2 linked regions of the Schizosaccharomyces pombe genome follow. Changing the gene in region 2 together with the main gene of any one other region gives a genetic interaction. Each region holds a gene or a part of one and is shown on either strand. Other genes may lie near its edges.

Evidence for each region.
Region 1: mutations in mad3 (region 2) and dad4 together harm fitness more than expected from each alone (negative genetic interaction), as found in Schizosaccharomyces pombe (one large-scale study listed by BioGRID).

The regions. Positions count from the first base shown.
Region 1 is NC_003423.3:4,002,998-4,008,099, reverse strand, and holds dad4 (DASH complex subunit Dad4), read left to right. Parts: upstream 1-1,717; 5' UTR 1,718-1,765; coding exon 1,766-1,870; intron 1,871-1,898; exon of another isoform or gene 1,899-1,929; coding exon 1,930-2,043; 3' UTR 2,044-2,071; coding exon of another isoform or gene 2,072-2,159; 3' UTR 2,160-2,234; coding exon of another isoform or gene 2,235-2,296; 3' UTR 2,297-2,460; coding exon of another isoform or gene 2,461-2,712; 3' UTR 2,713-2,817; coding exon of another isoform or gene 2,818-2,928; 3' UTR 2,929-2,974; downstream 2,975-5,102. Other genes in the region: cleavage and polyadenylation specificity factor complex subunit Ctf1, read left to right, coding at 73-103, 146-1,095, 1,133-1,243; SNARE protein Vti1, read right to left, coding at 2,072-2,159, 2,235-2,296, 2,461-2,712, 2,818-2,928, 2,975-3,080, 3,118-3,143; ESCRT II complex subunit Vps36, read right to left, coding at 3,385-4,788.
Region 2 is NC_003421.2:994,409-1,001,004, reverse strand, and holds mad3 (mitotic spindle checkpoint protein Mad3), read right to left. Parts: upstream 3,590-6,596; 5' UTR 3,318-3,589; coding exon 2,385-3,317; 3' UTR 2,166-2,384; downstream 1-2,165. Other genes in the region: SUA5/yciO/yrdC family protein Sua5, read left to right, coding at 837-2,063; vcx1 (CaCA proton/calcium exchanger), read right to left, coding at 4,189-5,062, 5,119-5,483; Golgi UDP-galactose transmembrane transporter Gms1, read left to right, coding at 6,201-6,296, 6,472-6,596. UniProt on the Schizosaccharomyces pombe protein: Component of the spindle assembly checkpoint which is a feedback control that prevents cells with incompletely assembled spindles from leaving mitosis.

The DNA of each region.
Region 1 (5,102 bases), on a different chromosome or scaffold from region 2:
GATTTAAGTAGTAGTAGTAGTAGTAGCAGTACGTTGGTTGAATGGGCAAAACCGAAAGACGCGACTACCAGCATGTCGATGACAGCCGGGAATGTCGTATTTGGTAATAATTCTTTAAATATTCGGTTTTGCTAATCTAATTTAGTTGGTAACATTCCATATGATGTTTCGGAACAGCAAATGACTGAAATCTTTAATCAAGTTGGACCAGTAAAGACTTTCAAACTTGTACTTGATCCGGAAACAGGTAGTGGGAAGGGTTATGGGTTTTGTGAGTTTTTTGATAGTGAGACTACCGCTATGGCTGTACGAAAGTTAAATAATTCCGAATTAGGACCTCGTAAGATTCGTGTCGAGTTTCCATCAAATGATCCCAGAAGGAATCAAAGTTATGAATATACGGAGCGTACTGATAGATACATGGAACAGCAAAATGCTCATGAAAGTTCTTATAATTCCCGTTTTATTCCTCCTGTTTTGCATTCAACATCTTCCCTGCCTGCTTCACAAGGAGGTGGGATGCCAAGTCCTGCTATTTATTCGTCGTCAATGGCTACTAATCTTAATAAAAATATAAATTCTACTTCTGTTCCTGCTTATAATTTTCACAACAGTATGACCTCCGACTTTGATTCTGCCAGTCAACCCCATACAGATGCATACAATGCAAGAACCTTTCAGTATAATAAATCTTCACAAAACAAAGGGGATTACACTTCCGGGACTTCTATATCGAATCCGACTTCTATCCCATTGGCCCCGTCTGTCGTTCAGGTACTATCTACCTTCTCAGCTCAGGAACTTCTCAATATGTTGTCCAAACTTCAGACTGTAGTTCATATAGCACCAGAAGAGGCACGACGACTTCTAATTGCTAATCCTGCTTTACCATACGCCGCCTTTCAAGCTATGTTGCTGATGAACTTAGTTGACGCAAATGTCTTACAACAAGTAGTAGTCGCAGTGAAGAATAAAAACATGCATCAACCAGCTTCAGCAACTTCCTCTCCTCCTTCTGTTCCCCAAAAAATACCTTCTAGTAACCATAAAAGTCAACAAGCGAATGGTTCAGATCAGGGCAATGAAGGGAAGCGGGTACGTTTTTTTTTTTTTTTTTGCACTAACAAAACAGATGGCCCTCATACAACAATTGTTGGCTCTTACCCCAGAGCAAATTAACGCATTACCTCCTGCACAAAGGGATCAAATTCTTAGCATTCGTCGGCAGCATTTTCGACAGTAAGTCTAATTTTAGTAATATCAAGAGATTAAATATTAGCATTTGACCAAGTACTTAAATTTGGTGTGCAAGATAATTTATTTACAACACTATAAACCATATCCTAGCACTGATACCTTTTCATACTACACACTTCTTTATACTATTCGGATGTTTTGCTTCTCATAAATATTTGTTTCTATACGCGTTATGGAGGGCTATTTCTTGGATCCTTTATTCAATATCCTTTTATAAAAATTTACTCAATCAATATTTCATATTAAAATTTATTATTTTTTATATTTTAAACTGCCCTTTTGATCGTAAATATATTATAAAAATGTAGGTGGTAACATCAACTGATACTTCTCAAATAAATATGCAACTCATAAATTCCCAAAAAGTTCAATTTCTTAAAAAAAATTTAGATCACAGGTTTAAAATTGTAGTTCAATTTTTCCAACTACGAAGTGTCAGCACTGGCTCATGCAAGCTTCCAAGTACAGACTACATAATTACAGTTTAGGAAATTGAAAACCATCGAAAATGAATAATCCTATGGAAGAACAGCAAAGCGCATTATTAGGAAGGATCATAAGTAATGTAGAAAAGCTGAATGAAAGTATTACAAGACTCAATCATTCATTACAGGTAAGATTACGACGTCAAATATTTGTGTACATATCAACTTTCCGCTGACATTCTTAAAGCTAATTAATATGTCTAATATGAATGTTGAGCTAGCTAGTCAAATGTGGGCGAATTATGCAAGAAACGTAAAATTCCACTTGGAAGAGACCCATACGCTTAAAGATCCCATCTAAAGTTATATGATGTTCTTTAATATTTGTGCTAACGAAATTTGCTATAAAGCACAAGCAAAATTAATATAACAAGGATTGCAATTATTGCTGTCGTGAAAAATCTGTTCATGGCAAGTCTTTAAAATGAGTTAGTATAAAAGATCATTACATGACGATTCATATCACTATAATAATGTCTATCTGTGTCCTACCTTCTTGCCATTGTCTTCAGAGTTCTTAAACTTCGATCAAGGTGTCCAGACGTATCTCCAAGCTAATTTGGTTAACAAATCTCAAAGAAATTTATACATAGCATAAAAGAAAACTATATTTTTAAACCATGGAGCTAATAAGCTTGGCTAAGATATGCGTATAAATCGCGCATTTTATCTTATCAATCATAGTGATTCATTTATCTATTTTGCAATAATTACTTACCATCTCTAAAGAATGCTCCAATTGATTTCTTTGACCATGAAGATCACGAAGAATGCTAGCACCAATGCCTTCAGTCTCATTCGCAATCCGTTGTGATTCAAGAAGACGCTGTGAAGATTGCTCAAGTCTATTTGTTCCTTGTAACAAACGAGTTCTTTGGTCATAATCTTGATCACTTGCAATATAATCACCGGATGTTTCATCCCTATTTCCAAAAAGGGCTTTCCTATCTGATTTGCCAATTTCTTCCTTCTAAACGAGAAAATTGTTAGTATGAATTTGGTAAATAAAAGTAGATTGTCTCATAGTAATTTCTGTAAAGCTTCAAAAGAAGAATGTTCGATATAGCTAACTTACCAGGTGTCTACGCCACTCCTCCAAAGTTGAACGATAACTACGAATTCTTCCATTTACGAGACCTCTTTCAGAAGTAGGGATACCGGTAATTTCAATTTCCATTTGACCAATCTGCAAGTTAGCCACTTTTTTAAAAACACAAATTATTCCAACATACTACTTCATCAATTTCATTTAAAAGTCTCTGACATGATTGAATAACAGAGTTCTCACCACTTTTACTTAAATCATTAAGTTTTTCTTCGATATCTGCTCGAAGCAAGCTAATTATTAGTAAACTTGTAATGGTATTAGACATACCGATATTCTTGCTCGTACGTCTCCATATTTAACAATTATTAATATTGATATATTAGATTTCTTGAAACTATCGTGTAAACAGTTTCTCAAATGAATTAAAAATAAAATAGGTGTAGGTTAAGATTAAATGGTTACGTTGGGAATCGAATACCCATAACAGGTAGTCATATTAATTAAGGCGTGTGTAGAGAGGAATCTACTAAAGCGAAAGAAAAATACAATGTTAAAAGGAATGAATATTAATTAGATAGTGTACAGTTATTATTCCTATGATTCATCAAACCATTTAGTCAATTCTTCTGATAATTCGTCAAATTCGTTTTTCCAGTATAGTAAGCTAGAACCAGATTCTTCATAAACATCACGTACAATGTAACCGTCCATCTCAGCTTGATAAAGTCTTTCTAACGTTACACCAATGGACCAATGCAACCTCATTGCACATTTCAAAGCCGTAGTGCTAGGATTCATAACTTCCAATATAGCGGACAAAAGTTTTCCTGAATGATTAGAAGTTTTTAATTGAAAAAGGATAAGCCCAGAGTTCATTTTGGACGTTGTTATACCAACCTCCATGGAATCTATTAGTTCACAAGCCTTCACAAATCTGGTCGGAGGAATCAGGTTTGCTTTTCTTGACCGATTATAGATGGCCCAAGCCTGGGTCATGGTAACCGTATCGGTATCAGCTTTTAACCTTGTGCGTAAAACTTCTGAGATACTTTTACATAGTTCAATATCATACAATCGAGAATTAGCCGAAACAGGAACATTATCTAAATGATTTCCTCGTAACACTCCTAACTGATTCGATTTGTTTAAAAGCTGCTGTACCTTGTCAGACTGTTGAGTGCCGGTCAGCCCATCCATCTTTTCAGCAAATTGGTCAGCCAGAGACATAGTATCTTTCGCTAAAGAAAAAAAAGCATCTAAATCTTGAAACGCATGTACTAAGGTACGTCCATTTTTGGCTAATTGCATCTCATGAGATTGCTCAAGATCATGAATACCACCCATTCGCAAAGACTTTTCAAGGATGGCCTTCCTCAGAACTTTAGTATCATATTTATTCGAGTATCTTTGTTTTTCTATTTCATCTGTTTCAGATTTGATAGCTTCGTAAAACTTGGATGAACCCGAGCCTCTAAACGAGAGTTGTATAAGCTGGTTTCTATCGACATTTTTTAATTGATTGCCGCAAATTTCACAAGTATTCAGATCCGGATAATTTTGAAAAGTACACGCGGTGCATAATCCTTGAGAAAAACGCGCATCTGATTTCGGCTTTATAATAGTAAATCGGTTAGCAACTCCACAGTTTCTACAAGGATTAATGGGATCACCCACATTGATAAATGTACAAATTTTGCAAGCCCATGACTTTTCCACATGTCGCAGAGAAAGGCGAATTTTTGGGGAGGAGCGAAAATACCTAGAGGTATGCTGTACATCTCTTATATCGGAGATTTTAATTTTTAATGAATTCTTTTTAGGATCTACTGAATCTACGTAGAAGATGTGTTTTTTTGTCAAATATAATGTTCCATTATTATGACGAAAACTTTTCTCATCTCCGAAGTATAAACCTACCTGGTCTTGAACTAGCAAAATTTCTTCTGAAGGATCCAAAACCGGTAGATTAGAAGGGGTTGTTTCTAAATAAAAGGCCATATTAGAAGGAGAGATTAACCAAAATGATAATTGTCAAGTGAATTAAAACTTATATAACATGTCATGTGCCTTGGTTAACTAGTCGAGACCAACAATTGATTTGAGATAATCTGTGAGTACGACTTTCGCTTTATTTAGCTACCTTTAAAAAAAATATTTTTGGATGACAGCTGTGAATGTCGATATATAAATAACATAAATGAAGCCTGTCAAAAGCTCGATTTAATATGTTACAATAAAAAAATCAAACCGTAGTCTTAATAAAAAACAACCCAAGGATCACAAACTAGCGATAAAAGATGCAACAGTGCCAG
Region 2 (6,596 bases):
TGAAACTTTATATTGTAACAATAATGACAAAGGAATGAAACTCGTTCTTCTTTGATCATGTGAAGTTCATGTCTATAATCTCATGTAAATATAATGTTTATGCTTATTCTTTCGACCATTCCTTGCACGCCCAAATAAAAATTCCTTATAATTCATCTTGGGTACGTTAGTTTTCCAAAAATTTTCTGGCCATTTACTATGAAATAGATTATGGTAAAATTGTAGCTTGAAAAATCTAGTATGATCGAATGTTTATAGAAGTTCACAATCAGTCTCGATTAATTCAAAGTCAAATTTGTTTGTTAAACATTCAGCTATATAATTTAGATTGATGCATTGGACATTAGCAAATTAACTAAATGCTTAGTCAAAAGGGATGTATTGGAAGAATATATTCTTACCCTGCCAAATAACAGAAACGATAAAAAAAAACCCACAAATAAAAACAGTAAGTGGGTTCTTTTCATTCGTGAAATCATTGTCGCGCTTACATTTCTTTTTTACAACCTCTGTAGCTAAATTCAAATTTTAAGTAAAGATCGTCGTCAATCACTACTCTAGTAAAATTTCTCAAACGAGATTTTATTTTCGTATTTAGAGTAAAATAATCTTGAGTTTTTAAATATATCTTCAACAATTATTTCTCTTACTTTGCAAGAGTCGACAACCAGCAATGATGCGCTTCAACTTAATAATAGCAATCAACTTCACCCTTCTCTCTATCAGCATTTAGCTTCTTCTTTCTAAATCAATTAACATAAAACAAGCTGAAGTATTACAATTTTATAGCAAAATTGGCCTCAGTAAGCCAGAAACTTAGGTTTTCTTCCTTGACAATGGAAACAAAAATTCAAACAGTTGATACTCGCCTTATCTCTTTTGAAAAGCCTAGTAATGATTCGGAACATCCTTTTGAACACACAAGGGTGTCCATACCTCCCTCAGAAACTCGTTCTGCATTAGAGAACGCCGCGAATATATTGAGAAACACCGATTATCCAGTTGCTTTTCCTACCGAAACAGTTTACGGTCTCGGTGCTGATGCCCGAAGGACTGAAGCAGTCTTGTCAATATACAAAGCAAAGAACCGCCCTGCTGATAACCCTTTGATTGTACATGTTGCTTCTCTGGATCAGCTACGTAGATTGCTGTTGAGTGCATATCCTAAAGCAAAGTCAGAAGTAAAAAATCAAGCACATGACTCAGAGGAGATTATTCCAAAAGTTTATTTACCGTTGATTAAAAAGTTTTGGCCTGGTCCACTCTCAATTTTGCTGCCAGTTGTTGACGAGGCTAATCCCCCGGTCTCACCAATTGTGACAGCAGGACAAAAAACGTTTGCTGTTCGCATGCCTCAACATCCTGTTGCGCTTGCCCTTATTTCTATTTCAGATTCGCCGTTAGCTGCACCATCGGCTAATGCTTCAACAAGGCCATCTCCTACGTTAGCTAAGCACGTTTACAATGATTTACAAGGTAAAATTCCTTTAATTTTAGATGGGGGAGCATGCGGTGTTGGTGTGGAGAGTACAGTTGTAAATGGACTTTGTGATCCTCCCGTAATTTTACGGCCAGGAGGCATAAGTTTAGAAGAAATTCAAAGCTCTGGAGGGGCCTGGGAGCGAACAAAAGTATTCGTAGCTAAAAAAAGTGATATGGAAACAGATTTCATCCCTCAAACTCCTGGTATGAAATACAGACACTACTCTCCAACTGCCAAAGTGCTACTTTTTGTCAATTACACAGAATCTGATGCATACGGTGTTTTTGAAAAGTATTTATCTGAGCAGGGAATCACTAAGGAAAAGCAGAAGATTGGTGTTTTATGTAGTAAACGTTGGAACGAAGAGTCATTCCCTTCTCACTGTCCGTTTGTATTTTTGCATATGGGAAGGGATGGACATGAAATTACAAAGAATTTATTCGCTCAATTGCGAGATTTGGATCTGCAGGGAGTTGATTTTGTTTTGGTTGAAGGTGTCTCCGAGGAAAATGAAGGGCTAGCTATCATGAATCGTTTGGGCAAAGCTGCTTCTGTGGTTTTTGAGGGGCCTTCTCATTAGTTAAAATATTTATAGCTAAGGGGTCTTAGCTTTACTTGTATAGAGGTGTAATTACTTATCGAGCTATCTGTTTATTATTTTGATAAATTGTCTATAAAAGAATTATTTATATCATATTCATTAACTTATGGCTGACTATAATTAATTTGAGAGTAAAATATAAAAAAAAGCTGCAAATCGTAGTATAAATAAGATGCTTTATGTTAAGTTCGTATAACCCTTAAAATTCGCATGTTTCAACCTATTTCTTATTCCGGGAGTCATGATGTACAATAGTTGTTAATCTAATAACGCCAATACTTTAAATCTTTTCTTTATCGGTTATTCTTTCGATACTTCCTCATCACAATGAACTTGAAATTTCCCAAGAGGGTCCAATTTTCTTGGAGATTTCAAAGGCAACTTTTCGCCTACCCAAGAAGTAGCCGATATGTTGTTTTCTTTACGCCTTTGATCAACTGTACCAAGAGTTTGCCAGGTCCCAGGTTGGCCATCCTTTCCAGAACCATCCGCATCTGAATAAACAGAAAATTTAAATTTAGGTTTAGAAATTTTAGTCCTAGACTGGGATATTTCCTGGATATTTGTTGACTCAAATGTCGTTTGTAAAGGATTAACCGAATTTGTATTTGAAGAGAATGATTGTGGGGCAAATTCCAACCAACGGTGAGTAAATTGCTGATACTTTTGCTGAAATCTCAAAAATGGCTTAGCCTTCATTCTTTTTCCTTTCTGATAAACTTCGTCAGCTTTTTGAAACAATCCCCTAGACTCGAAATAATTTGCGTATTCCTCATAAAAAATCGAGGACTCCTGTCCAATATGATGATGTGCCAAGAAAGAAAATAATTCAACCGGTTCGTCTATATAGTTTACATATTGCATCCATATTCGTAAATACCGAACATCATCTTTATAAAGCGGATTTCGTACGAATTCTCGAGTACACCTTTCTAACAATGTTACCAGTCCACTAGTTTTTGTTTCACCTTGAGGGAAATTATCCAAGGTCCATTTAATATAATCGATCCAAACTTGTAGTGGATCATCAAGAGACTCGCTCGTCTCTATTTTTCGTTCATGGCCCATCCTTTCTTTTTGCAGACCAGCAACTTCTTTTTCGGTGTGGTTTCGCGACGAAGATTTTGCAAGTGCAGAAGCTGAATGACCAGCTTTTCTAGGCTCTATGTTTTCCTTGGACTGCTCAATGACATCCATATGCACCCAGTTCTTGCCAGCATCTAATGGTTCCATTTGTAGTCAATGTCTTCCAAAAAATTAGTAAACCTTTTCTAGAGAACCCTATACCTTCCACTAAATGAAAATAAATAAAACAAAGAAGGAGATGTGAGTGTAGTAGTATTGGAAAGTTTATTTAGACAAGTACAATTCTATTGAAAGAACGAAAATAGCCAGTATATAGTTTAATAGAAGGTGTACTGAAAGCTTTTGTATAAAATTAAAAGTGTCAACACTCAAAGAGCAAGAGTAGGAATGTATGAAAGATTGTGCGTAAATTAGAAGGTAAGTGCCAACTTGACGCTGGGGGAGGGTATCATACTTACGCCTGGAAGAGTCCAATGAAAGAGATAAGAAGTTTTTTCTGTTTCTTCGAATATACAGAAACAGAAGAAGAATTAAAATTAACCACTTCACATACTAATGGCTTGTATTATTAAATCATGTAAAACACAACCTACAAAACAACTAATAAAAATAAACAAAATGAAGATTTATAAACAACGATTTACAAGAGTTTATTCAAAAATTAATTTTCTATTTTCATAGCTGGTAAGACACATGAAACTGAGACTGAAGAATGAGCGACTTAAAAAGCTACTGTAAACAAGCAGATATTGGCTTGACCTGCAATAGAAATTTAGAGTTGTGTAGTCATTGCGAAAATGGGAGATTTCTGCATAATTTAACACTTGCATACTAAAAAATAAGTCTGCAAAATATCCTTGTAACAGAAACCAAAAAAAAAAAAAATCTAGTATAAAAAAATAAGAAATCAATAAGTTCGGTATGATAGTTTCGTAAAGTAAAACACAAAGAAATCAAGAGAGTATATCAAGCACATAAGAGTAGACATAATAAGGAACTAGCGAGGGAACGACAAAATTTATTGAGGGTAGTAGAAAAAGGCGAGAACAACAATCGCATACAAAGCAAGTAATTGAACACCTTCAAGCCAATGAGTAGCACCATCTTGTATCAAGTAATTAACCAAGAAAACAGACACAAATAGAATAACTGTTTCCAATGATTCAAAGTAAAGTGTTAAAGGTTGGGAGATGATCCATCCGACGATTACCAAGAAGGGAGCTAAAAACAAAGCAATCTGAATACTGGAACCAATAGCAACACCCAAAGCCAAATCCATTTGTCCTCGGTAAGATACCACGATTGCAGTAACATGTTCGGCAGCATTTCCTACAACAGGAAGGATGACCAAACCAACGAAAGTTTTTGAAATGTTAACTTCCTCAACCAATTGGTCTATCGAACCTACTAAATAGTCTGCGCAAAGAGAAACAAAAACCGTGACGATAGCAAGCATGGCAATGGATGAACGAAGGCCTAAAATTCGAGGTTCAGTTTCTTCTTCCACTTCACTGGGATCATGACAGACATGCTTATGAGTCTTTAATTGGAAAACTAAAAGTAAAACATAGACGATGAGTACAATAACAGCAGTTCCACGAGAGACATGGAGAAGCGCATTTTCGCTATTAGCGTTGTCGGGAAGGCTGTAATGGAAAGTCGCAGGAATCAATATGGTAGCAGTAGATAAAGCAAGCATTGCAATCATAGTTTGTGCAACAGTGATATTAAATGTGGTAATTTCACGACGAATACCAGTAGTTACGAGACACATTCCAAAAACAAGAAGCAAGTTGGATAATATTGATCCGAGAAGGGACGATTGAACGATGCGGAGCTCTCCTCTTTTCAAAGCAAGAACGCCTACAATGAGCTCGATGGCATTTCCAAAACTGTACACAACGTGTTAATAAAATAACAAAAGAAGACGATAAAGTAGGAATCTTACCTAGCATTCAACAATGCTCCCAATGTTGGTCCGCTAATTATAGAGAGTTGTTCAGTAGCAAAGCTAAGCAAGGATGCAAGGGGGATAATAGCAAGCATGTTAAGTATGAAAACAGATTTAGCGTTCCATTCAAACCATCCTGCAATTAAGCCGATCGGAACAAATACCAACATCAAGTTAAAGTAGCTAGACATCAAAACAGATTTGGTCATGCCGACCACGTTTAAAAGCGACAACTGACGAGCCATAGAGTGGTCATACTCTGATCCCAAGAGAGGGGCTCGTTCATGTCTATCCTGGGCGGGAAAATTAAAAGAATTCATAGCTTCAAGTCTGTTCTTAGCAATCTTTAATCTCTCAATCATGTTAGTCCAATTCAACTAATGTCAAGTTCGGCGGCTACTTATAGGACCCGTTTATACGATATTTTGCAAACCGAATACCTCTATGTATAAGCCAAAGATTTGAGGATTCATAAAACTTTAACTTACCAACTATAACAGTCAAATGATCTAACCTTCGGCTATCAAGGGGAATTCCGTTATAACAATCTGATATCCCTGTAAATCCTGAAAGCAAATAAAGACTCCAGAAGCAATCAAAATCGTAGAATTTTTACCCTATATTTCTAAAAAATTAATGCACTTTAAAGAAAATACAGAAATATGAGAAAACAAGAATCGTTTAACGCTTGCAGTCGGATATCAGCATGTATGTACTCAACGCGTTCGAATGCACAAACCCGCTTTGTCACATGTTCGTGGCAAATGCAAAACTTAGCTTAACGTGGCTATCTTCCAAATTTGTTGGTGTTCATAATGACCCTTTATCGATTTTACCTCGTGCTCCGTAAATCAGTTGGATACTATAAAGGCTTGGGCAGTTAGTTCTTGTCGTACCAGCAGCCAACACGAACGTGTTTTACTATTAACCGGATTGAGCGTATTAAGTATTGGAGGTTTTTAATTTTTCTTGCAAATTCTTAATTCGTTAACTACCTTTTGCTTATATTAATATTTCATTAAGTCCGAGCACTTCACATCTTTACAAGTGTCTAGTCTAATACCAGTAATATTGAGAAAATGGCTGTCAAGGGCGACGATGTCAAATGGAAAGGTATTCCAATGAAATACATTGCATTGGTACTTTTAACAGTGCAAAATAGTGCATTGATTTTGGTAAGTAGTCGCGGTTTTTTTAGGAAGTCTTGTGAATTTCTCTGGTTTGTGGAGTATATGGTCAATCTTCTTATAGAAACACGCATGTCTCCCACTTTTTTTTAGAAAAGCTTCGCTGTTTTTATGTAGAAATATATTTCTGTTTTTCCTATTGTACATGCTAATGGTTAAATAGACACTTAACTATTCTCGAATCATGCCTGGATATGATGATAAACGTTACTTTACATCAACTGCCGTCCTTTTAAACGAACTTATTAAACTAGTTGTTTGCTTTTCGGTTGGCTATCATCAGTTCCG